Caenorhabditis elegans: one gene and its partners. Changing the gene in region 2 together with the main gene of any one other region gives a genetic interaction. Each region holds a gene or a part of one and is shown on either strand. Other genes may lie near its edges.

What was found.
Region 1: of rsks-1 (region 2) and ifg-1, changing one enhances a phenotype caused by changing the other (phenotypic enhancement), as found in Caenorhabditis elegans (one study listed by BioGRID).
Region 3: of rsks-1 (region 2) and let-363, changing one suppresses a phenotype caused by changing the other (phenotypic suppression), as found in Caenorhabditis elegans (one study listed by BioGRID).

What each region holds. Positions count from the first base shown.
Region 1 is NC_003280.10:8,214,642-8,222,643, reverse strand, and holds ifg-1 (MIF4G domain-containing protein), read right to left. Parts: upstream 5,391-8,002; coding exon 5,342-5,390; intron 5,300-5,341; coding exon 5,206-5,299; intron 5,162-5,205; coding exon 5,045-5,161; intron 4,900-5,044; coding exon 3,807-4,899; intron 3,753-3,806; coding exon 3,549-3,752; intron 3,498-3,548; coding exon 2,531-3,497; intron 2,478-2,530; coding exon 1,907-2,477; intron 1,861-1,906; coding exon 1,635-1,860; intron 1,564-1,634; coding exon 1,402-1,563; downstream 1-1,401. Other genes in the region: M110.3 (E3 ubiquitin-protein ligase MARCHF5), read left to right, coding at 6,218-6,340, 6,586-6,662, 6,715-6,870, 7,132-7,272, 7,775-7,847.
Region 2 is NC_003281.10:11,242,768-11,252,439, reverse strand, and holds rsks-1 (Ribosomal protein S6 kinase beta), read right to left. Parts: upstream 7,321-9,672; 5' UTR 7,130-7,320; coding exon 7,065-7,129; intron 6,086-7,064; coding exon 6,022-6,085; intron 5,590-6,021; coding exon 5,431-5,589; intron 4,423-5,430; coding exon 3,386-4,422; intron 2,345-3,385; coding exon 2,017-2,344; 3' UTR 2,001-2,016; intron 1,349-2,000; 3' UTR 159-1,348; downstream 1-158.
Region 3 is NC_003279.8:5,243,062-5,249,643, reverse strand, and holds the start of let-363 (Target of rapamycin homolog), read right to left. Parts: upstream 3,902-6,582; 5' UTR 3,864-3,901; coding exon 3,741-3,863; intron 3,686-3,740; coding exon 3,585-3,685; intron 3,532-3,584; coding exon 3,237-3,531; intron 3,193-3,236; coding exon 2,863-3,192; intron 2,814-2,862; coding exon 2,602-2,813; intron 2,558-2,601; coding exon 2,497-2,557; intron 2,447-2,496; coding exon 2,274-2,446; intron 2,135-2,273; coding exon 2,021-2,134; intron 1,975-2,020; coding exon 1,677-1,974; intron 1,070-1,676; coding exon 956-1,069; intron 907-955; coding exon 729-906; intron 293-728; coding exon 1-292. Other genes in the region: mrpl-47 (Large ribosomal subunit protein uL29m), read right to left, coding at 4,352-4,568, 4,617-4,738, 4,782-4,887, 4,938-5,102, 5,157-5,251. UniProt on the Caenorhabditis elegans protein: Serine/threonine-protein kinase that regulates the mRNA translation machinery, probably by modulating the activity of translation factors such as eIF-4G and eIF-2. It may have some protein kinase activity instead of lipid kinase activity.

The sequences.
Region 1 (8,002 bases), on a different chromosome or scaffold from region 2:
GTAAAGAAAAATGACAAAAATTGAAAACCTGTCTCAAGGAAAGATGAATGAAGTTTCTAACGAAAAAAGAATTGAGATTTGCGCGGGTAGATCAAAGGTTACTGTAGCAAATTTTTTCAAAAACTATTTAATTTTATAGGTCTAAATTTTAAATAAATTCAAACAAACCTGCGAAACGGCGAAATTCTCTCGATTACTGTTTATATTATTCCTTCTCATATTAGATTTCATTTACATTCGCCAGTGACACGATTTCCTAAATATTTATTCAAAATCGAGTCAACGTAAAACTGTGAGCATTTGATGAGAAAACAGAGCAAGCTATATAAATGGGGAACAACCCCAACAAGAACTATGATGAAAAAAAAAAAAAACAATTTTGATGCCCATTTTTATTTGTGGTGGAGGTGGTGATGATGATAATAACGGAAGGACAATTAGTTAAAACAGGAAAAACGTAGAATTCAAGGAAGTGGAAAATTTAAGATGGGCTGATGAGAGGATATTAAAATTAACCAATTGTCACAATTTCTAGAAGATCCAGGAATCAGACCGAAGGCACTGACTTACACACAATTAGGAAATTTGGAAAAGAAATGAAGCTAAGAGCTAGTCAAAAGTCTTCGTTTTACGATAAATTCGATGCAATTCAACGAAATTCCAGCACTCCGAAAAAATTCAGCGACTTTTCGACCGTCTCTTAGAAAAGACCCTTTAAGCACGAAAACAAGCATAGCAAGAAATGTTCTCGGGACCAACTGGTATGGAAATATGAAGGGAGAAACCAATAAAAAACCAACAGCTAATTTAGAAACAATAAACAAGGAGACTATGAAAGGGTTATTCAAATAGAAAAACGAATGAAAGAAATGGGAACTGGGAGCAAATAAACGAAACGGGAATCCAAATGAGGATATAAATATTTAATGATTTGGAGGAAAACGTGATATTTTTAGTGATCATCAGAAGAAAAGGGTAAGGTGGGTGGGAAAGGGGCTATAACGAGTTGATTTCTGCGTCTCGAAACGAAAAATGAAGAGAATCTTCACGTTTCGAGACGAGTTGTAGAATGAGCGGAAGTTTGCAGGAAAAATGATCTGAATGTCTGAAAATTGATTTACTTCAGCTAAATCATGATAATCAGTTATTCATTTTGAAACTTTTCTTGCAAACCTCTAACAAAAGAAAAACAAGCAATAATATCGAAAACCATTAATGGGATACCCAATAAGACATAAAATCGGTAGGGATGGACGCGCGGCGAAAAAACGAAAAACTTGACATGTTTAGACCGTATTATCAACAACTCGTTCTTATATAGATAATTAAAATGGGTTTTAGCACACAAAAAAGTTCTCTATAAATCTACTGTGGAGTTTGAAAATCCAAAAATACGATAAATTAGTTGCCCGTCAAATAGCTCGACAACGTTTTTCCATTTTTAAACGTCACTGCTTCCATTTCTGCTGAAAGTCCTTCTTCCATCTCAGTCTTTAACTTCATGTCCGAAAACTCCCACGAGATTCCTTCTGCAGCGCCAGTCACTTCAAGCTCAAGCTCGATCTGAAAAAAATTAAATTAAAAAAATAAACGCAATGTACTGAATCTGAGCACTAAAATTTGCAATAACTCACCAATTGCTTCAAAACTTGAACAAGAAGGTCAAATTTCTTATTTCCTTCTCCTTTGGCAGCTGAGAAAATTGGCTTCATGTCCGCTAATGAGAAAGATTCAACTTCTCCAATTTCGTCATGTGGAGCATGACTTGTGTTCACGAGAACTTCACCAGTAACGGTCCACAATTTGGGATAATCTTGCTGGAGCTCAACATCATTAGCGAATTTGCAGAAACGGGTAGCTCTGAAATAATTTGTAAAGCTCAATAAATCATAAACTCTTGCCTTACCCCTCTATAAAAGCTTGCTTCTCAGTCTTGCTGACCAATGACATCCGCAGAGCAATAGCCAACTTCTTTCGATCATCATCCTTCAAACCTTTTTCGATCACAGCTCGGATAATCATCTCATAGACTACTGTCAATGACGGCGAACCGTATTTTTCTTTTCCAACATAATCGGTGATAGAGTCAACCAATTCCTTTTGGGAGAGCTCACCACTAGACATTTCTAGAAGATCGGATTTAACGGTATTCATAATCTTGGCTCTGACAGCTTTCTCTTCTTCAGTCAGCTCATCGTCGGTCTTGTCAGTATTCGAATTTTGTGATGTGGATCGCCGCGAAGAAATTGACATTGCACTGATTTCCTTTGCAGCAGCTAAAGCGGCCTGTTTCTCGTCAACAGTCGACTTTTTGCGTTGATCATTGGAATCACGTCGCCCCCAAGCTGATTTGACTGGAACGGCAGATTCGGAAGAAGTGTTTCCTCCACCAGAAGCACCAGAATGCCACTCTTTTTTGCTCTTCCCAAGAGTATTATTATCCATCGAAGAGAGCGAGATGTTTTTGGGTTGAACACCTGGAAATTGCAATTAATTAATATTGAAGAAATATTTGTCTGAAAATACTTACTCGATGAGGCAAGTTTTGTGTTAGCTGCAGCAGCGGCTCTTTTTTGTTCAGGGTGTTGCATTCCTCGGTTCCTATCCAATGAATTCCTGGAGACTGGAACTGATTTTCTGAGAGAGTTGCTGTTTGGTCTGACACCTCCATGACGACGATCACGATCCCGATCATATTGATCACGAGCTTTCTCATTTTCAATCTTCTCTTGACGAATATCTTTGTGAATTTCATCGATTTTTTTCGGTCCAGACTCGGTAGATTTTCTTGGAATCCATTTGTCTTTGCGAAGCTCCATAAGATTCATGATCATGAAACGGATTTTGTTTGAGCAGTAAGGTTTGGCAGCTTCCAACTTCTGGAACCATTGATCAAGGAATACGGTCGTGGAATCTTTTGATTTATCCAACATCACGCCTACAGTCTCGATGAGTTGAAGACCACAGTGAATAGATTCCTCGTCGACATCCTCTTTTTTAATATCTTGGTCCTTGATCGAATTGAACAATTCGAATGTACACGTTTGGACGATTTTTGTGGATAAAAGTTGATTTCTATACAGATAACCCATAAACGTCATAACTCCGAACTTTCTCCGTCTAAATTTCTGTTTCTCCTCTGCAAGCATCAATTCCTTTTTCACTGGATCTTCTTCTTTTTCGATGATTGCCAGTTTGTCTGCATCAATGTCTTTTTTATCCTGGAATGTCATCTGCGTCCGAGTCAAAACCTTATTTCTGAAGGCTGACTTTCCGCCGGTCTGGGATAGTTCATGATTCGCCTGAGCCTTACACATTTCAGCGTACAAAGCACAGAACTTTGGCTCTTCAACTGCCTTGTCAAAGACGATTTCGACAACTTGAGCGAGCTGCGCATCGTTGGAGGATACATTGTAGGAAATGAATTCTTCGGTGAGAGGACGTTGTGATGTAGGCGTCACCTTGTTCATAAGAGACCGAACCTTCTTACAAACTTCCTGAAATTTGGTTTAACAGTTTATAGTTTTGATTAATCACGAATAACTTACAATAACCGCAGCTTCCTCGCTTGCAACAGCTTCCGCGGTTTTTTGACGGTCTGGCTTCCATGCATCTTTCGATGATGGAAGTGTAACTCTCTGAACTCGTTCAATCGAAGGTCTAACAACTGGTGGTCGCTTGTTGTGCATACGATCTCTTTGCTGCTGACCGCCACGCCCGGTTCCATCTGTGGTTGTTCTTCCACGGTATGGCTGAAAATACAATATTGTTTGAATTATGGCTTTTATTAAATAATGATAACTTACAACCTGCTGGCGGTTTCCTCCTTTGTTTGCCCAGTTTGGTGTGAAATTAGGCTTCTTATTATCAGAAACTCGCATCGTTTTGATATCCAATCCGAAATCAGCTAGCTGAGCTGGTGACAGTGGACATGGGGTCCGAGAGAAAACTTTTTCAATTTCGCGAATAGTAACCATGAAATCTCTTCCAAAAGTTCCATCCGAGATGACAGCACTTCCGGCCAGGATAAGCTCCTCGATTCTTTTCTCTAAAGCTTCCTCGCGAAGTTTTTTCTTTTCAATCTCTTCGGCTTCTTTCTGTGCTTTTTCGATTTCCAGCTCCTCAGGAGTCTTTTCTGTAGAAGAGTCAGCAACGTCTGGCGTACTTTCTCTTTCATCATTCTCCTCAAATTTATCATCATCAGTTTCCTCTTTTGATTCTTCCTTTGTCAGTGTTGGAGTAACTCTGACATCAGCTACAGTAGATGCTGATTCTGCAGTTCCACTGGCGGGCGTAGTGGTGGTTGTGTCTGATGCATGGGGAGATGAAACAGGCGTCACAAGGGTTTCTGCTTGTTTTACTTCGTAATCAGCCTTTGCTGGTGCTTCTGGAGTTTTCGGAACGGACGGTACAACTTGTGGAGCTATGGATGCTGCTGGAGGTGTCTGTCCCAGGGCTGGCGGTGGTACGCTAAAATTGGGAAGTACAGCAGCTTGCACCGCAGCTGGGACCGCAGCTGGGACCGCAGGAGGATTATCATGTCGTCTGTCTTCATGATGTAGTTCATTTTTGACCTGATTCAAGAATTCTAAAGTAATGTTTTGTTTTTTCTTTTCTTCCTCTGGGGCAATCGGGGCTGCTGGAGCCGCTGGCGCTGGTGCAGCTGGTGCAAGATGAGGCGTCACTTCAATTGCCTTTTTCGTAGTTGGATCGACAATTTCCAGTGCTTTCCTTTGCCGTTTAGGTTCTTGTGGAGCTGTATGAGTCATCTGTTGTTGTGCTGGCTGAGCTGGTTGATATGGCATTTCTGGGTGGTATTGCTGAGGAGCTTGGTAGCCTTGGTACTGTTGATTGTACATCTGTGGTTGATGACCATAGTCCGGTCGCTGATATCCACCACTGAAAATGATATTCATGAAAAACTGGTAGGTAACAGAAGTAAGCGTTTGGGATACTCATATTTTTAAGAAAATTTATTTTTCAGTGTGAGTAAAATTTTGGAAATGATAAGCTAAATATATTTAATATTTAAAAAAAAACTTACTATTGTTGCTGGTGCTGTGGTGCTTGTGGCGGATAATAGTGATTTGTTTGTGGTTGGTTGTATTGTTGTTGGCCATATTGTGGATACGCCGACTGGTTCATTGGCATTCTTTGATAGCTGAAAAAGAACTTTAGCCATGGAAAATATTTTCAACTTCTTACTTTGAGTTCACTGGGCCAGATGTGTTAACAAATGGCATCACGAATTGTTGGGATGAATCCTGCATAGGAACTGCATTGTGATCTGAATGAAAACCTTGAAGGAATTAGAAAACTGACAAAAACCGTGAGCACTTACCTTGATTCGGCTTCCCTCTCCCAGGCCCCCTACTAACAGCGTTTGACATAATCTTTCAGTTTGAGGAAGTCACTGAAAAGAGTTTTAATAAAATAAAAAACGATAGAGAATAATTAGAGAAGGGGAAATTGAGGGAGGAGGAATAACGTTATTTTTCAAAATAAGAGCAGAGTGAAGGTAAAAGTGTTTTCTCTACAGATAGCAAGAACAGAAAAAGTGCAGAACGCAGCGTTTAGAATATCGATTATTTAAACTGGTGATGTCAACAATAAAAAATGACTGCACATCGTCTCCTTCATACTCAAGAGCAGAAGATGTGCATGTATCGACAGAATTTAAAGAACGTGCACACCGAGAGAAATTACATGGATCGATGAAAACTATAAAATACAATCGCATAGAAGTGGTTTTACGTTTAGTCCGTGTGAATCTGTAAGAACTTAACAAAAATTATGAGTAAATTCCAAAGATATCGCCAGTCAGAACAGAAAGTAAACAAAGTCTTAACCAATTTCGCAACCGGAAATCAATAAATTTCGAAATGCCTGATTTCAAAACATTGAAGAAATAAATATTGATCGAAATTTAAAATTTTGAACCTATGAAACAAAAATCAAGTTTAAAAAACAACAAAACGTTTGTTTTTTTCCGAAAAATCGATATAAATTTAGGCTGAGCCAAGAGACAATGGGTCTCGTAGCGACAAGTTGCCTGCCATAGTTCCAACTCGCGTAAATCGACACAACTCTCCTCTCTTTGCACGCTATTTCTCCCTCATCACATCGCTTTTCAAGTATCTACCAAAGAAATCCGGTTTCCTCTTTGGAAATCAGATTTTATATTAAAAAAAAACAAATAAACAAACCGTTACGGAAGATGGCGTTAGAAATCGACGGAAATGAGCAGGAAACCGAGAAATATTGTAAATTCTGCTTCGGAACGGAAAGTGATAATGCGTTAAGCTTCGTTCATCCGTGTCGATGTCGAGGATCTATTCACGTGAGATTTCATATTCGAAAAATGTTTTTTATGCTTATTGAATAGAAAAATTAAATTTATGAGTGTTAAATTAAAAAAGAGATACATGAATCAATATGCTTATCGAATCAAAATAAATATTGCGAAAATTGATATTAAAATTAACTAGGAAAGTTCAGGAACCTTGAAAAATTTTTGTTATAACCTTGAGAAACTGTTCGATTTTCGCGAATAATTCTAGTTTTTCACTCCAACTTTTTTTTCAGTGGGTTCATCATCAATGCCTGGCCATGTGGTTTTCGAAAGCGAATGCTGTACAACAAGTTATGTGTATTCAGTGCCAGTACGTTAATTAAAGTTTATTGAAGAAAATTTCTGAATATTCCAATTTCCAGAACACGATATCAAAAACAATTAACACTCAAATCATGGAAATCCTGGACAATTCCTCGCTTTGGAATCGATAAGTTTGGCTTGCTGGAAATTACTGTTGATTTATGGATAACATGGAGAACTGTATCCGGTTTCGTTGGAATGATGAACGGAACAAAGTAAGAATATCTGAAAAAAAAACTATCATGGGGTTTTACAAATTTGAACATTGTTTTATTTTTCTCCTCTCGTATTATTAGATGGGAATAGAAAATACAACTGTAACAAAATCCAGAAATGTTCATAAAATGAAACTGAAATAATTGATTAAATGAATTCGAAGTTTCCAAATATTTAAAATTATCTTTCTCCAATTCAAACAGCGAAATAGAATCAAACTTCTCGAAAATAACATCCATAAATCGTCGTAATTGTTTCAGGGGAATTTTCCGAGAGATAATTCTATGCACCATGTGGAAATGTTTTGTAGCATCTGGAAGGAGGTTTTGCTACTACGGAAATCTCGGACTAAGACTTGCTTCTTCGATTTTCCGAGTTAGTATTGATGACTATGAAGAAAGGTACGTATCCAATATTTATAGATTTGTTTCTCTTCGGTCACATTTTTGCTAGAGCCCAATTAAAAAATATATAATCATACCGTTTTGAGGTAAATTCAGGAAATTTCTGAACAGCTTAATATATTACGGGAACAATAAATCATGAGAATGTGTACTTAGTGCATTTTATTTGACGCGCTATATCTCTTAGCGAAAACTACAGTAAGAGCTTAAATATCTATTGTTATTTGAGTTCTTACTGTATTTTTCGCTAAGAGATATCGCGCGTCAAATAAAATGCACCAAGTACGCATTCTCATGATTTATTGTTCCCTTAATATGTAATTTCATAATTTAATTTTCTATATAAAATTGGCTACTATTAAATTCTACAAATTTTTAAACTACTGCTGTGATTGTGGCGAGACCCGCTCAGAAAAGTGACGTGTGCCTTTAAAGTTAATTGTCACAAAAAACGTATTTTACGAATATCTGTTTCATATTCAAATTGTGCCAATTTCAGACGAGAAATCAAGGCACGACTTCCAACCGATATGCACTGGGAAGAAATCAGCCAATCGTCTGTTCTCAACTAGTACAGTTCACTTGTCCTCCATACGGGTTGCTGAAGTGCTCAAGTGTCGCTCCTCCTCTTATTTGCTTTATCCTCCCAACAACTGACCTGGTTTTCCGTTTTCTTTCTCTCACACTCTTGTCTCTATCATCTCAGTGTTTTTTCTGTATTTTCTGT
Region 2 (9,672 bases):
TTTTCTGTTTCAAAAAAGGAATGATTGTTTCCGATTATCATTGGAAAGAAGACGTCCTCCTTATCAAAAGGGGGCTATCTTTCTTTTTTATTTGATCGATTTGTTACACTCTGTGTTAAAAAAAAACTCACTCTTCAGGTAGAATCTCCTCGATAATTGTCAAACCTATTCATCTTTATTTGGCCCAAAATTAACAAAAAAAAGGTTTTTTTTGTGGAAAATGGGATTTTTTGCGGTGGTTTTTTAATTTTCAGAAAAGAAATTCGAACAAAATAAGGCAAATGTTTTCAGAGCTATAAAAGGCACTTTTGATTTTGGGAGGTGGAAGGGAGGTGGTTGTTCACAACAACAACAACAAGAAAATTTAATAATAATAGTAATAAAGAAAACATTGAATATCACGAGATAATACTCGAAAGGGGTTGGGTTGGTAGGAAGCAAATATAGTGGTTCGAGTTGGGGGAAGGAGAGCAAAAAAAATGAGCAAAAATGACTACCGTAATCCCGGCATAAAGTGTGTGTGTATCCCTTGAAGATTTCTCGGTGGAGCGCGTTTGCTTTAATGGTTTTTTTTTGCAATTTTATAATCGAAATTTTTGAATTTAAGACAAAAAAATCCAAGAGTGCGGTTTTTCAAGAAAAAATTGTGAATTTCACGGAAAATCCTAAAAAAATTTAAAGAAAAACTTGTAATTTTTACCCCAAAATTTCAGATTAATTTGAAAAAATTTCTGGAGATATTTTTTCAGAAAAATTGTTTTTAAAAAGCTGAAATTAAGATTTTTTCAAAATTTCGAGTTTTGAGTCAATTTTTCCCGGCAAAAAAGCAAATTTCAAATTTTTTTGAAAATTCCAAAATGCAAATGCGCTCTATCGAAAAAAAGGGGAGCTAACAGGGAAAATTACACGAAAAAGACAAAAAAAAACGAGTAAAGAACGAAAAAAAAGTGAGCGCATAAAAGAGAAAAAAGAATCCCAAACATGAAAACAAGCCAGAGATTAAAGTACCTCCGTATTTATTCGACCCCCCTGCCGAGACTCAATTTTAGGGGTAAAAAGTGCCAAAATTATCAATTTTTTTCGAAATTTTCACATGAAATTGGTCCCCGCGGGAGGTCCACACAGATCGTAATCTCTGGTGGGATGATGAAGCGCCTTTTAAAAAAATCGGCATTAAGAGTGTAAAGTTAATAAAAAAAATAACGAACGAACGAAAAATGGATACAAGAAATTCGAAAATTTGTGTGAAAATTTTCAGAAAAAGTGGAAGAACAACGACACGTTAAGGAGAAGAAGCATGAATGAATATTGAGCATTTTGTGTAGAGGTGTGTGTGTGTGGCAATTTTCTGAAAAAAAAAACTTGTATTACATTTTTCGTGTTGTGAAATTTAATGTGAAAATAAATTTCTAGTAAATAACTTTACTTTTTTCAATTTCCATTAAAAAATAATTTCCAAAAAAAAGTGGAAATTCTCCGCTTTTTTCGGTTTTTTTAAATCGAATTTTTACAATTTTTTTGAAAAATTAATTTTTACAATTTATTACACATTTTTCTCAAAAATTGAATTTTTTCGGCTTAAAATCGGCAATTCTCACTGATTTCACCCTTTTTTGCATGTTTTTTCTTAAAAAAAATTTACACCTTTTGTATCAATTTTTTTAAAGCAATTTTCATTCCAAAAAGTCATTTCTCAATATTTTTCTACACAAAAATAATGGAATTTCCACAAAAAACTGTGTTTTCATGGGTAGGAAAAAAAAAACAATTTCCACGCTATATTTGTAATTTTTCCGCGCGAAAATTTCAATTTTTAGATCAAAATTTATGCAAAGTTGAGAATTGAATCAGTTTCTGTACAAATTATGAATTTTCGCAGCTTTTTCCATGGAAAAAAGGTGAATTTTGGTGAAAAAATTGATTTTCACAATTGTTTCGTGGAATTTTTACGAAAACTCCAATTTTTGTAAGTTTTTCGGGGAAATTTGAATTTTCCGCACCTTTCCGCCCACACATTTACATCACCCTTTTCGGCAATGGAATAGGTGTTGACGCAGAACTTCCAACATTTGATGGTCTTGTCGTCGTAGTAGATCCATTTCCAGTAGTAGTTTCACGACTTTCACTAGCACGTGGTGTAGATGTATCCATTGCATCATCTTCTGGATATCCACCACTAAATGATTGATATGGCTGTTGAATTCCTGCTCCTCCAGCAGTAGTAGTAGTCATTTGACTACCAATTCCGTATCCAAAAGCCTGTGGGGCTTCACTATTTGGTCCGTGACCGAACAAATTCGAGTGACCACCGTGAAGAATGCTCGCCGTTTCTGGGTCTCCTGGCCTGAAAAAAAATTCCAAATTTTTGGGATTTTTCATATACTTGGAGAAATTTTAAATTTAAGAAAAATTGCATAAAAAAGGCTTTTTTAAATTTTTTTCGGGATTTTTTTTAGTAAATTGGCAATTCAAAAAATTATTGCTAAAAACTGATCTTTTTTTCAAATTTTAAAGAAAATTTTCGGTAAATTTATAGTAATTTTTCTTTAATTGGACTTTCTCTACCGGGCTTGGAATTATTTTTTATTGTACTTTTTTTTTTTGGAGATTGTTAATTTCTTAAATATATTTTCAGATTTTTTGAAGCAGTTTTTTGAAAAAAGTCAATTTTTCTTTTCTTTTTTTTCGACAATTTCCTATAAATTCCAATTTTTCGGAATTTTCTTCAAAAAATTCCAATTTTTTCACAATTTCCTCAAAAGATTCCATTTTTCCTTTTTTTTTGTTGGAATTTTCCATAATTTTAGGGAAATTTCTGAAAGTCTGATACTGATACATTTCCTTAAATTTGCTTTTTTGGAGCTTTAAGAAATTTCCCAAAAAAATGCGGAAATTAAATTTTAAAGAAAATTTTCTCTAAGAATTCGAAGTTTTCAGATTTTTTTGGTAAATTATTCTTTTTTTTTTTTAATCCAATTTTTCTGATTTTATGAGAATTTCTTCGAAAAAATTCAATTTTTAGATTTTTTCGTTGGTAATTCATTTATTTGGAAAAAAAAAACCTTTTTTTTTGCGATTTCTTTAGAAAAAATCCGATTTTTTCAGATTTTCTTAGCATTTCTCGGATAAAAATTCCAATTTTTATGGCGATTTCTTGAATAAAAAATTCCAATTTTCCTTTTTCGGCATTTTCTTCGAAAAATGCCTATTTTTCTGTTCTTTTTTTCATAATTTTTTTGAAATTTTTTTTTGGCAATTTTTTCTAAAAAATACCAATTTAACAGTTTTTAAAGCAAATTTTCTAAGTTTTTCAGTTTTTTTTTTTCGGCGATTTTTTCTAAAAATTCGAATTTTTTCGCAAAAATTTCCCACAAATTCCACGCACTTTCTCGGGCTCTTCGCAGCACCAGCTCTCGACATAGACGAAGCCAAATGTGCCACCGAAATTCCACCATGTCCTCCCTTATTCATCATTTCCAACACAGACGGTGCGACATAGGTGAATCCCACAAACGGATTATCACCATTCAAACTGAAATTCGTCTCACACGGCGAATCGACCGGCGTCATTTTTGTGAAACGCGCGTCAAACAGCGACGTATCCTCGTCGTTCTCTATATTCGGCTTGAATGGGGCTTCAAGCTGCCGTGCGTAGACCAGGTTCCAGTCCGTAGTCTTGAAAAACGCATGACTTTTGATCTCTTCCGCGTCACTGAGACCCGCGCCGAGCCGGGTATCCACATGGCGTTTCAAAAGCTTCTTGATCAAATCTCGAGCCTCATTCGACAAATAGGCCGGCAGAGTAAGCCGTCCCTTCAGGATTTTGTCAATCGTTTTTCGGCGATTTTCAGCGGTAAACGGTGGTCCACCAGTGAGCATGTCAAACATCAGAGCTCCGAGGCTCCACCAATCAACAGCTTTTCCATGTCCACAACGCATCAGAATCTCCGGTGCCATGTATTCGATAGTTCCACAGAATGTGTGAGTCTTCTGATCTCCCTCGATTTCCTCCTTACAAAGACCAAAATCTGTGAGCTTAACGTGTCCATAGGCGTCTAAAAGGATATTCTCTGGCTTCAAATCTCGATAGATGATTCCTTGCTGATGAAGATGCTCCAGAGAGACGACGATTTCCGAGAGATAGAACTTTGCGACGTTCTCCATGAACATTCCTTCTCGCTCCAAATGCATGAATAATTCGCCGCCAGATAGATATTCAAGGATTAAATACAGTTTTCCACCGGTTTGAAATGCGTACAATAAATCACAAATAAACGGAGACTTGACTGCTTCAAGAATGTTTCGTTCGGCTTTCGTGTGAGCTGTATCCTTTTGATTTCTGACAATTGTCGCTTTTTGGAGCACTTTCATCGCGAAGATTTGGCCATTGTCGGAGCCCGTCGTTTTTCGCACTTGGAATACCTGGAATTTGTTGAAAAATTTATAGAATTGTACTAAGAAAATAAGTGTTTTTTTTCAGAAGGTTTTCAGGTGGGTTTTGTATTAAAATTCAATTTTTTCGATTTTATTTTCGTTTTTGCTCAAAAATTTGAAATTTACAACATTTTGTTTTTTAAGGCGATTTTTCTGTTAATTTTTGCAAAAAATTGAAAACTTTCACTTTTTTTGTAGGAATTGGATTTTTTACGATTTTGGAAATTTTTTAATGAAATTTATAAAATTGTAATTACGAAAAAAGTTTTTTTTTTCAATTTTTTGAATTCATTTTTTCGGAGTTTTTTTTTGAAAATTGATGTTTTTTCCCCCGCTTTTTAATGGTAATTTTCGTTTTTCGCATAATTTAAAAGGTTTTTTCAGGGTTTAGGTGGATTTTTTTTTTGGAAATTCAGAATTTTCACATTTTTCGGGCGATTTTGACCATATTTAATATTCTGTCGCACATTTTTTTTGGGAAAAATTGAAGTTTACAGAATTTAAATTTTTTAGGCGAAATTGATTTTTTTTCTGTTGCGATTTTGGGCTTTTTTTGAGTGAAAAATTGAAATTGACATTTTTCCAGGTTTTCCAGAGAAAAGAAAAAAGAAATTTGTAGAATTTTTAATCAAAAAAGGAAGTCAGAGGTTTTAATATCAAAATTGTAATTTTTAGTAATTTCTAGTAAGATTTTTATTTTTTTTAATGTACTTTCTGTGGAAATTATTTTACAGGGTTTTGCAGCAAAATTGTAATTTTTTCGCATTTAAGCTGATTTTTGGAGTTTTTCTACAGGTTTTTATCGAAAATTCAACGTTTCTCATGGTTTTCTCTGTAGAAGTTTCGCAAAAAAGTCCAAATCTGAGTTTTTGCTAATTTTTTTAAAATTTTTTATTTATTCAGCATTTTTAGTGCTAAAAATGGATTTTTTCAGTTTTTTAGTAACTTTATTACAATTTTTAATTTTTTTCTTGAGAAAAACGACAATTTTCGAACCTTTCCATATCCTCCCTTGCCAAGAACTTTCAAAAGCTGAAAATCTTCGGGTCCAACACGAACATTTGGTGGATTAATTGCACTGGCACACAGTTGAATCGATTCCATCATCGGATCCTCCATATACGATGAGCTCGGCGGTGGAGCAGAAATTTGTCCCTGGAAAAATGAGAAAAAAAATTAAAATTTGAGCATAGCTTCCGCATCTCCAGTGGTAAATGTGCTCTATTGGCAAATTGTTGGCCGGAATACGGTATTTATTGCATTTTCAGCCGAGAATACCAGAATTCCAGTCGACAATAAGGATAAAGGCACAGAAACCACAGAAATATAATTTTAAACTATTTTTCGGCAAATTTCAGCGTTTCAGCAACGTTGAAATTGTCAGAAGCCGGCAAAATAGTGAGAAATGGTGAAATTTCACAATTTTTTAGTTTTGAGGTAATAAGCTGGGAAAGTGGCAAAAATTTTGCATTTTCGGGGCGAATTTCAGCGTTTTTGACCGTCAAAAACGGCAAAAATCGTGAATTTTCTTAATATTCGCATGGGAAATAGATTTTTTTAGCTCTCAAACTTGTCAAAAAACCATACATCAGCAACATTGCTGTACATGTGATCGTCCTCCATGATTTCCGTGCAGTTGTCATAGTGATATCTGAAATAAAAATTAAAAACATTTTTTTCTAAGTTTTCAGCCATTTTTCGCTTTTAACACACAGTTTTGAAGAAAAAAACGCTTTCTTTTAGATTTTTTTTTCCAAAAAAAAATTGATGGAAAATTGCGAATTTTCCAATTTTTAAAATTATTCAAGTCAAAATCCGCACAGTTTTCGAATAAAATTGATAAAATTTGAAAAACCCGAATTTTCTGTATTTCGCTTATTTTTCCGCAAATTTTTGAAAAATTCACCAAAAAAATCCACTTTCTAGTCTAAAAAATGTCAATTTTCTGTAGTTTCCTCTCTGTTATCACCTGATTAATGACACAAAGCACTGATCATTGGTGCAATCGGAAAATTGAAAAAAAATGAATTTTTTAAATTAGAAAATGATTTTTAAGATAAAAAATTTTACTGTAAATTTTTTTGAAAAATTGTGGAATGTTCGGAAATTCCGAAAATTATGAAAAAATTTTTTTTGTTAAAGTTAGCATATTTCAGCTCAGAAAACAGTTTTTGACAGTCGAAAATGTCATTTTTCAATCTAAAATTCCAGAAAATCACAATTTTAGTTGGAAAAAATCGAAATTTTCACCAGTTTTCTACAATAATTGTAGAAAATTTGAAAATGCAATTATTTTCTCCAAAAAACTGCAGATTTCGAATTTGTCGGAAAAATCTGAATTTTTTCAAAAAACCGAAAAATTTTGTGGAATATTCGAAATTTTAGCATTTTTTCGATAACAAAAACCTGAAAACCAGTGCAAATTTTAAATTTTTCGTGAAAACACCTTTAAAGTTTTTAACAAGTTTTTACAGAAACTTCAATTTTTATCAATTTTATTATAACTGTACAGATTTTGACTTTATAATACGAAAAATCTGCAATTTTTCATCAATTTTCGCAGAAAATTTAAAGCAAAAAACCGATTTTCCCCACAATTTGTATGTTTTTACCCAAAAAAAAAAACTCACGCATGACGCTGTGGCGATGCCTGTGACTCGTGGCCTTCCAGCTCGAACTCGAACACGTCAGCCATCGTTTTTTTTTCGTGTTTTTGTGGATTTTTTATCACAAAAAAAATTAATTAGGTACTATTATAGATATTTGTATTTTTTGTAATTAATAAGGAAAAAAGCAGTGATAATTTGGAGCAGCACGGAGTGGTGTGTGTTTCCAAAGAGATCAGCCCATCCAAATGTGTACAATATATAAATTGGTTCGTATAACCTGCAAGAAGGTAAAAAATTATTAAGATAATGGGAATATCGATTGATTTTTGTGAAAAAGATAGAGAGATACAGAGATACGATAATTAATAATAGAAATAAACGCACAAAAAAAACACATTTTTCTGTCGATTTCTGGGAATTTTTAAATTTTTGATTTTTTTTTCGTGCATTTTGAAATGTGGAAAATTATATTTAATTTGCAATTAAAAGAAAAATCCTCCTTTTAAATCGATTTTTTTTTTGAAATTTCAGGTTTTTTTTAAATGACAATTAAAAGAAAAAAAAGAGTCTAAAATGGAAATTATTGTATATATTAAAAGTCAATTTTTAAATATAAAATTTATAAAATAATGAATTTTTTCCGAAACAAAAAAACAAGAAAATTCGTAATTTTTTCCGTTTTTCACTGAAAAATTGACTTTTTTCAGTTTCAAAGCACACAAATCGTGGCAAAAACGAGAAAAAACTGTCTCCATTATCACTTTTCAATCAATTTTTTGGCGATAAGAAACTATAAGAAGCCTAAAAGATTTGATTTCGTCGTTGCGAAATTCCAAAGTGTTCTGGTATTTTCTCAAACAACAAAAAAAAGTGTTTTTCGACCCCTCTCCCGGGAGATCAGGTGTTTTTTATGTCATCATTTGTTCAGAAAATAATGATCACATGGGGAATTTGCGGTAATATTTCGTCACTTTTAATAAAAAAATATCAATAATAAATAATTTAAAGTTAAATTAAAACTAGAACATTTATTTTTAGAAGCAATCATTTCAATTTTCAAAACAAAAAAAAATCGATTTTTTTTTTGAAAAATCCCGAAAATTTCCAGTTTTAGCGGAAAAAAATAAGATTTTTATCGCTTTTTTTCTGAAAAATACCAAAAATTTCGGATTTTCCGTTTTTCGATTAACAAATCCGAGAAATCGGAGTTTTTCAGAGCATTTTCTTGATAATTTCACTTTTAACAAATTTTAGAAAAATTATTTCATGTCATTAAAAAAAAAACTCAAAAATCCGTTAAATTTAAACAAAATTGTTATTAAAAATTCGGTTTTTACACCAAAAACGGAATTTTCCTGTATTTTTCAGAGAAAATGTATTTTTTGTTCACTAAAAACGGAAATTTACCGAATTTATTGGTATTTTTTCGAGAAAAAGTCGTCAAATTAAAGATATGACAGGAGAAAAAGAATTTTTTTTTTTCGATATTTTCAAATTTCGCAAAAGAATTTTAAAAGTCAACTATTTAAAATACTCTTATAATTTTAAACCGAAAAGTTTATTTTTTGAAAAAAAGTTTGTTTTAAATTTTTAACTTAAATTGGTCGAAAATCCCCCCACCAGAAAAAAAATTCCAAAAAAAAAAGTTCAAATCAATCGATAGTGCTGATTTGACACAAAGCGTGGAAAGGTGGTCTGGTGTAAGCGAAGAGAAACCTGCGGACGGACACTGGGGAGGTGACACATACACAAGAAATAGTACGTCAATCGACAGAGTGCACCAGAGAACGATCAACCTAACCAGAGAGATGAGAGAGAGAGAAAGAGACATAGAAACGTCCCTTCAACCAAAAAAGTGAGAGAGAGAGAGAAGAGACACAGAGCAAGCGCATCCGTCTCTTTAAATTTGATGGTGTCTATATTGTATTGGGGAGCGTCTTTCTCTCGTTTTTCACTCCCCCCACCCGCGGTTTGCAACAATTCAGAGAGAATTACAAATTCACGCTTTTTCGCATGGTTCGAATTATCAAATTTCGATTGAAATTTTTGAAAAACTTTGGGTTTTCTTTTAAAAATTGCGAGAAAACGAGAAAAATCATCCGATTTGCACTGGAAATTGCCGAATTGCACGGGAAAATTGCCGAATTGCACGGGAAAATTGCCGAATTACACTGGAAAATTGCCGAATTGCACTGGAAAATTGCCGAATTGCAATGGAAAATTTCCGAATTGCACTGGAAAATTGCCAAATTGCACGGGAAAATTGCCGAATTGCACTGGAAAATTGCCAAATTGCACGGGAAAATTGCCGAATTGCACTGGAAATTGCCGAATTGCACGGGAAAATTGCCGAATTACACTGGAAAATTGCCGAATTGCACTGGAAAATTGCCGAATTGCAATGGAAAATTTCCGAATTGCACTGGAAAATTGCCAAATTGCACGGGAAAATTGCCGAATTGCACTGGAAAATTGCCAAATTGCACGGGAAAATTGCCGAATTGCACTGGAAAATTGCCAAATTGCACGGGAAAATTGCCGAATTGCACTGGAAAATTGCCGAATTACACTGGAAAATTGCCGAAATGCAGTGGAAAATTACCGAATTGCACGGGAAAATTGGTGAATT
Region 3 (6,582 bases), on a different chromosome or scaffold from region 2:
TTCGCCAATTGCGCGATCATTTTCGCAGAATGTTGCTCCAATCTTGCCTGACCACTTTGTTGCATTTGACTCAATGTCTCTAGGAGCATCAATCGAAGACGTGGCAAAACAAGTGCCGGATTGAGCTCTGCGAGTCGTCCGAGTAACGTCACACATGCTTGCTGCATTTCGAGTTTTTCGTCGTGAAGAGCCATAAATTGTACTTCGAGCATTTCGGGTTGAGCCAAATGAGCAAGGAATGGCCGTGGCATTTGTCCGAAACAGCTGATTACTTGCATTCTGACACGGACATCTGAAATAAATTAAAAACATTTTTGAATATTTGATCAGGAGCACAATTTTGCGCCATTAGTACTGTACCCGGTCTCGACACGACAATTGTTTTAATAGAAAAAGGTATGCGCCTTTAAGGAGTACTGTAATTTCAAACTTTTGTTGCTACGGAATTTTCATTAAAATTTTCCGACTTTTTTCCAGAAAATCATAGGGAAATTGTCATTTTTTGAGAATCGAGAAAAATTGAGAGATGTTCGGACGAGACAATAAAAAAATAGATTTTTCGAAAAATGATGAATCCAAAATATTGAGATGACTAGAAGAATTATTGAAAATTCAATTTTTTTCGTTTATCGATTTTCGAAAAAAATAAAACTTTAAAATTACAGTGCTATTTAAAGGCGGTTAATTCTCGTTTCGACCAGTTACCGTAGTTTCGAGTAAATACCTACCTTGATCATTAACAATAACCGAACAAACAGCTCGCAGCACACCATAAATAGTTTGAAGAAGACTATTTCTCTTGTCACTTGTAACTTTTTTATAAACTCCAACAAATGGTACGACCATTTCACAACACGAAGAGACAGCAGCCAAACGGATTTCCACATTGTCCGCTGTCAAGTAGTACTGAAAAACCACAAAATTACAGAAAAATCGAGAAAACTTTCGAACGTACATCTGCAACGTATTGCATGATTCTCTGCAAGGCACCTCTTGAGAAATAGAATTCACCGAGCACATCGACAGCCAGCACGATTCGTTGAAGCTCTTTTGGATCGGTTTCTGCTTTCTGAAATATAAATCTTTTGCATAAATACAACCCCAAAACTCTCATTTGAGATTTTTTGAATTTACTTCTTTGCACAACAGAAATATCGCCAATGAGAAATATATTTAAAACCATTGTTAATGCTAACATGATAAAATATCATAGGAAATCTGTTCGAAAAATTTAAATTTTAAAAAGTCGCCATTTCTATTTTCTTATTTTGCTGATTATGAAAATATTTGAAAACCCCGCAAAGTTTAGGTTTTTTTTTCGATTTTTCGGCTTTTAAATTTACGATTTCTGGAAACAAAAATCAAAAATTTCGAAAAATTTCTGGTCATTTCTCTATTTTTCAAAAGATAATTTCGATAAATTTATAGCTTCTCTGTCTTTTGTTTTTCGAACATATCTGAAAAAAGCGAAAAATCATACAAATTTTTAACGACGCCCTTGGTTCGAATATAGAAAAATGTCGAAACTTTGACGGAAAATTATTTCAAAAAAGATAAAATTGTAAGCGTTTTTAAATCTGATGGGATTCTGATCTTTATTTAAAAAATGTTATGTGCTTTTCAGATTCAAAAAAATTACTTCGAGCAAAATTATAAAATTTCTCTACGAAACAAACCTGCAAAATAGCTTTAGGACTCGCAGGCCTTCCAATCGGTTCGGATTTTGGTGGAATTAGAGATCCAGTGAGTGTTTGATAGACAGAAGCCATAACACCATCTTGAACATTCAGCCGCAGTTTCGGAATTCTCATCATAATCATTTTTAGCACGTTTGCCAGCGATCGAGACAGGGTAATATCCATTAATTGTGGAATTATTGCCTTGATTTGTGTCGTCACTTGTTCGTGATAAGCATCCACAAATAGGAACAGGAATGTGAAATAATTATCGAGAACATCAGAATTCGTCGTTTTTCTACAAAATTTAACTATTAAAAAAAGTGTACTAATTTCAAATTTACTTGATAGCAGCAGAGATAAAACTGATTGTTTTCTCGATATGTGTGGCATGTACATCTGGATTCGAGAGCATCATCATTCCGATTGCTGGAGCAGCGACCGCATTTCTTTGAAGACTGAAAAAATTGAACATTATTGGAAATTTTGAATCACCATAATTTTTTTTGAGTCTCGTTACAAAATTCGTTTTTAGCGCATTTCGAGTCTATAAAAGCTAAAAGCCCATAAACATCAGTCCTCTTCCATTCTACGTACATAGTAAATGAAGTGTCGAATGAGATTGTTTGAAAAGTTCGATCACATTGTGGAAATGCACAAATTCTTGGTAGAAGCTGCATGAGAACTGTATTCAGGTAAATCGAGCTTTGCTGTTTCGTGGATGAAGTTTTGTTTGCGAGAGGTATTATCTGACGAACACAATCGAGTATCTGGAAAAAAACATAACAAATTTCGGGAAATGAAGAATTTCAGCTTTTACCTTCGGAAATCGTTCCAAAACCAGCTTTCGAGCAGTCACACTTTCCACAATAGTTTGTTGCCTTAAAAATACAAGTTTTTAAATAGATGAAAAAGAATCGATTACTTAGTTAGGACAAGCCATTCAACACCTTCTTCTTCGTCTTCTTTCAAAAACTTTTGTTTAATAAACTGTGAGGATTCACATCTGATGAGTTCGAATCGTTGATCAGAAATTCGAAGAAGTTCATTGAGAATCAGGGCGACGGCATGCCATCTATCCAAATCGTCCTTTTGCGATGGGTTTGGTTGACCTTCCAGTGCTTCATCGAAACATTTCTGGAATATAAAATCATTCTAACGAAAGATCAAAATTTTAATTGATCACCTTAAACCACTCAGTTTTATTCTTTGCTTCACGCTGTGAAACAATTGTCAAAACCACGTGTAATGCATCAATTCCGGCGATTCTTACAGCTGGATTCTTGTCTCTGACAGCGTTGAAGATATACTTGAAAAATAAGTTTACACGAAGAAAGAATGCTGTCGGTGTGGCCAGTGCGAGCTCACGAGAGAGGTGTGAAGCGGCGAGTCGACGAATTTGATCAATTTCCTGTTGATTTTTGGGTTGCTGACTATGTGGAACATTTTGACCAAGCCATTCGTGGCAATGATCAAGACAACGATCAACCAGCTCGGCCGCGTATGATTTACAAGTCTGCAAATGTTTAAAATTGGTTTAAAAAAAATTAAATTACTTACCGCAATCAGAAAAGCGAGAGCTTTTGAAGCCATCTTGACTGTATCTTCATCTAATCCATTTCCATTATTTAACATTTTCAGAAGATAATTCGCATATCGAATAACATTTCCAGAATGAGTTTCAGCTAAGCACACGATGAGATAGATACCGGCTCGTTTCTGATCGATATTTGAATTCGACTTCATACAATTATAAATTGCACTCTGAGAGGCTATATCTGTTCGTCCATCGATTGCATTCAGGAAAGCATCACTAAAAGTATTTGGCTCGTCTTTCAGCTCACTTCGAACATATCTGAGGAAAATAATATATTTAATTTATTGACTTTTATTTAAAAAAAAAACTACCTGCTGAGTTCTCGAGCAGCCTGTCGTTGATTTGCATCTCTATTTTCCGTAATTCGGCTCCGATATTGTGAAGCAAGAGCTCTTGCAGCATCAATCCCTTGCTGAAATATGATTTTTTTTTCCTTAAAAATTGTTTAAAGGAGAAGAAATACTAACTTTACGATGCCGCTCGTCAAATTCATTTGTAGCTGGAGCGGAGACTATTCGATTGGAAGTTGTGGCTGCTTTGTTCTGTCTATCGGCATTCATTTGAAAACTAATTCCGTGTTGTTGGAGCATTTTTCAAAGATGTTTCTGCCGATTTAGTGCATTGTGGGCTTAAAATTACGTTAAGAATAAAAAGTTATGAGAATGATCAGAAGCATAGAAAATCACTGGTTTTTTTCCGAAAATAAAATTATTTCCAGCTGAAATAATCAAGAAAGTGCTCAAAACTGGCCGTTTTCAGAAAAATATAGCTTGATAGTTCGATAATAGACAACTTTCAGGTAATTTTTTACCACTTTTTAAATTTTTTTCAGCTAAAAATTAGGTTTTTTTTCCTATGTAAATCAAGGGATTTTCAATGAAAAATATGAGAACAACACGGAGCCTTTTGTAATATCAGATAACTATGGGCTGACAAAACCCGTTGCATATTTCAAAATATCAAGAAAAAAGAACAATGGATATTCTTTGAAAAACTAAATAAACTGAGGAAGGAAGCAAAGCAAACAACATTTTTAAAAGCCTACTCGAAAACAAAAAAAATATCTAGAAACAACTTTTTATCGATTGAAAACTCGTGGAGCTCCTCTCTTGAATCTGTCCATGTCTTCTGTTCGTGCCGCTCGTCTCTTCTCATCATCCAATCTATCTCGATTTTTCATGAATTCTTTTTCCTGCCAAAGCTTCTGCATCACGTAGGCATCGTCGTCGAGATATGGAGTTTCGTATTCTTTCTGGCCGAGTTGAGGTGGTGCAAAGTGTTCTGTGGCTTGTTTTCTGGAACATATTTTTATTTTAAAAAAATTAATTTTATCAGGAACTCACTGATATGTAAATCCAGCGAATGAAGTGATTGTTCTCTTGCGTGGAGCCGCGGATTCTCCAGTTTCCAAACGGAAGACCGCATCATTTCGCTCGTGAACTACTGATTCTATACGATCCATTGTCTGAAATATATCATTTTGCATTTATTAAATTTTTAAAATATACCTCATGAACACGATCAAGTCTCTCTGGGTTTGGCATGTTCCGGGCACGTGAAGTGTGCGCTTTTTTCATCGTTATCAGCATATTTCGCTCCTTCAAGCACACATACCTTAAATTTAAATTTTTAATAAATTTAAAACCGAATTGCCATTAAATTACCAAAGCTTATGCAAATCTGAATTGCTTTTTAATCTCAGTTCTTCTGCTGTCCACGATCTGCCCGGCCGATGTTTCGGGCGGAGCTCTGCTTTTCCAAAATTCGCTTCATCATCGAAAAATTGTTTCATTGTACTGGAAAATCGTGTGTTGACGGCATTTTGTGATCTAAAAGAAGCAAAAATTAACTGGAATTCAACAAACTTCGATTTATCAACTAACCGAACAGCCGAAGACACCAAACTCGGTAAACTACGCCACATTGTAGATTTGAAGAACCTCAAAGAATGAAAATTGGTAAAATCAAAATTTTGCATATATAAAGAGCAAAATATTCAATAAAAACAAAAGAAAACATTAAAAAATAGAATATTTTGGAGAAAACCTTGCTGCCAAAAAATAATAAATGGGCGGCAAGTGCGCTCCACCGCACAATTGCCTCCCCCATAGCAGAGGTAATTCAAAAAATAGTTTTTTCTAGATAAAATTTCAATAGCAAGTTTTAATACTTTTAACATGGGTTTTCAGTAAAACATTGAATTAACTTCAAGTAATTATTTCTTGAAAAAATTCTTCGACAAAAAAGTTCATTTTAAGTCAGATATTAATTTTTGAAATTATGAAAACTTAGTTAATCTCCCAATAAATAAATGCGGTCATTTATATGCCTGGAGGTCAGTTTTTTTGATTAAACTGGAAGCTTCTGGCACCTAGAAAAATTTTGTTATTAAATTTTGAAAGCGCTTAAAATTTGAAACAAGTCCCCGAAGAAACATTTTCAAAAAAGTTCAATTTAAGTCAGATATTAATTTTTGAAATTACGAAAACTAAATAAATCTCCCAATAAAAAATGCGGTCATTTATATGCCTGGAGGTCAGTTTTTTTGATTAAACTGGAAGCTTGTAGCACCTAGAAAAATTATATTATTAAATTCTGGAAGCGCTTAAAATTTGAAGAAATCCGAAAAGTTCTAGAATTTTCTAAAAAGTTCTGGGAATTTTTTAAAGAAAAACCTGGAAAGTTGTAGAATTTTCTTGAAAGTCCGCAAAACTCCAGGAGAATGTATAACTGTACAAAAATGCTACATTAGCACTTTAAAATTCATTAAAACAATTTAGCGTACGCCAGTCGGAGCACGCGCTTTGCGTGTGCGAACGGCTGGTATATATAAAAGTGTGTGAACAAGATATTCCATCGTCGAATCGTACATTTTGAAATGCCAATAGTTTTTTTTTTGAACAATATTATCATTAAGAGGTCGTGTTGTGTCAGGTGTCGTCTTTCAATCTTGAAGTAATGTCCGAAACATTTTGCTCATTGCGGTTGTAACCCCTTCCTGTGTCTTGTCTCTGTGTCTCTGAAGATTGTACATCGCACTAATGCTCACTGAGCACCACAAAATGAATTGAAAAGATAGGGAAAGTGTTCTGGAGGAGACAGGAAGATAAAGAAGACAATTTCATTTCGTTTCTTATACTCCCTCACCTTTAGTTCAATTCTTCTTATATCACTTTATCACATTGAAAACTGAGTTTTCTTTTATTAAAGATGGTATAGTGGGGAAAATGCTAAAATTACTTTAATAATCCTCAAATTGTCAAATGTCATAAAATATTTTTGAGCGTAATCTGAAATATGTTTATTTAC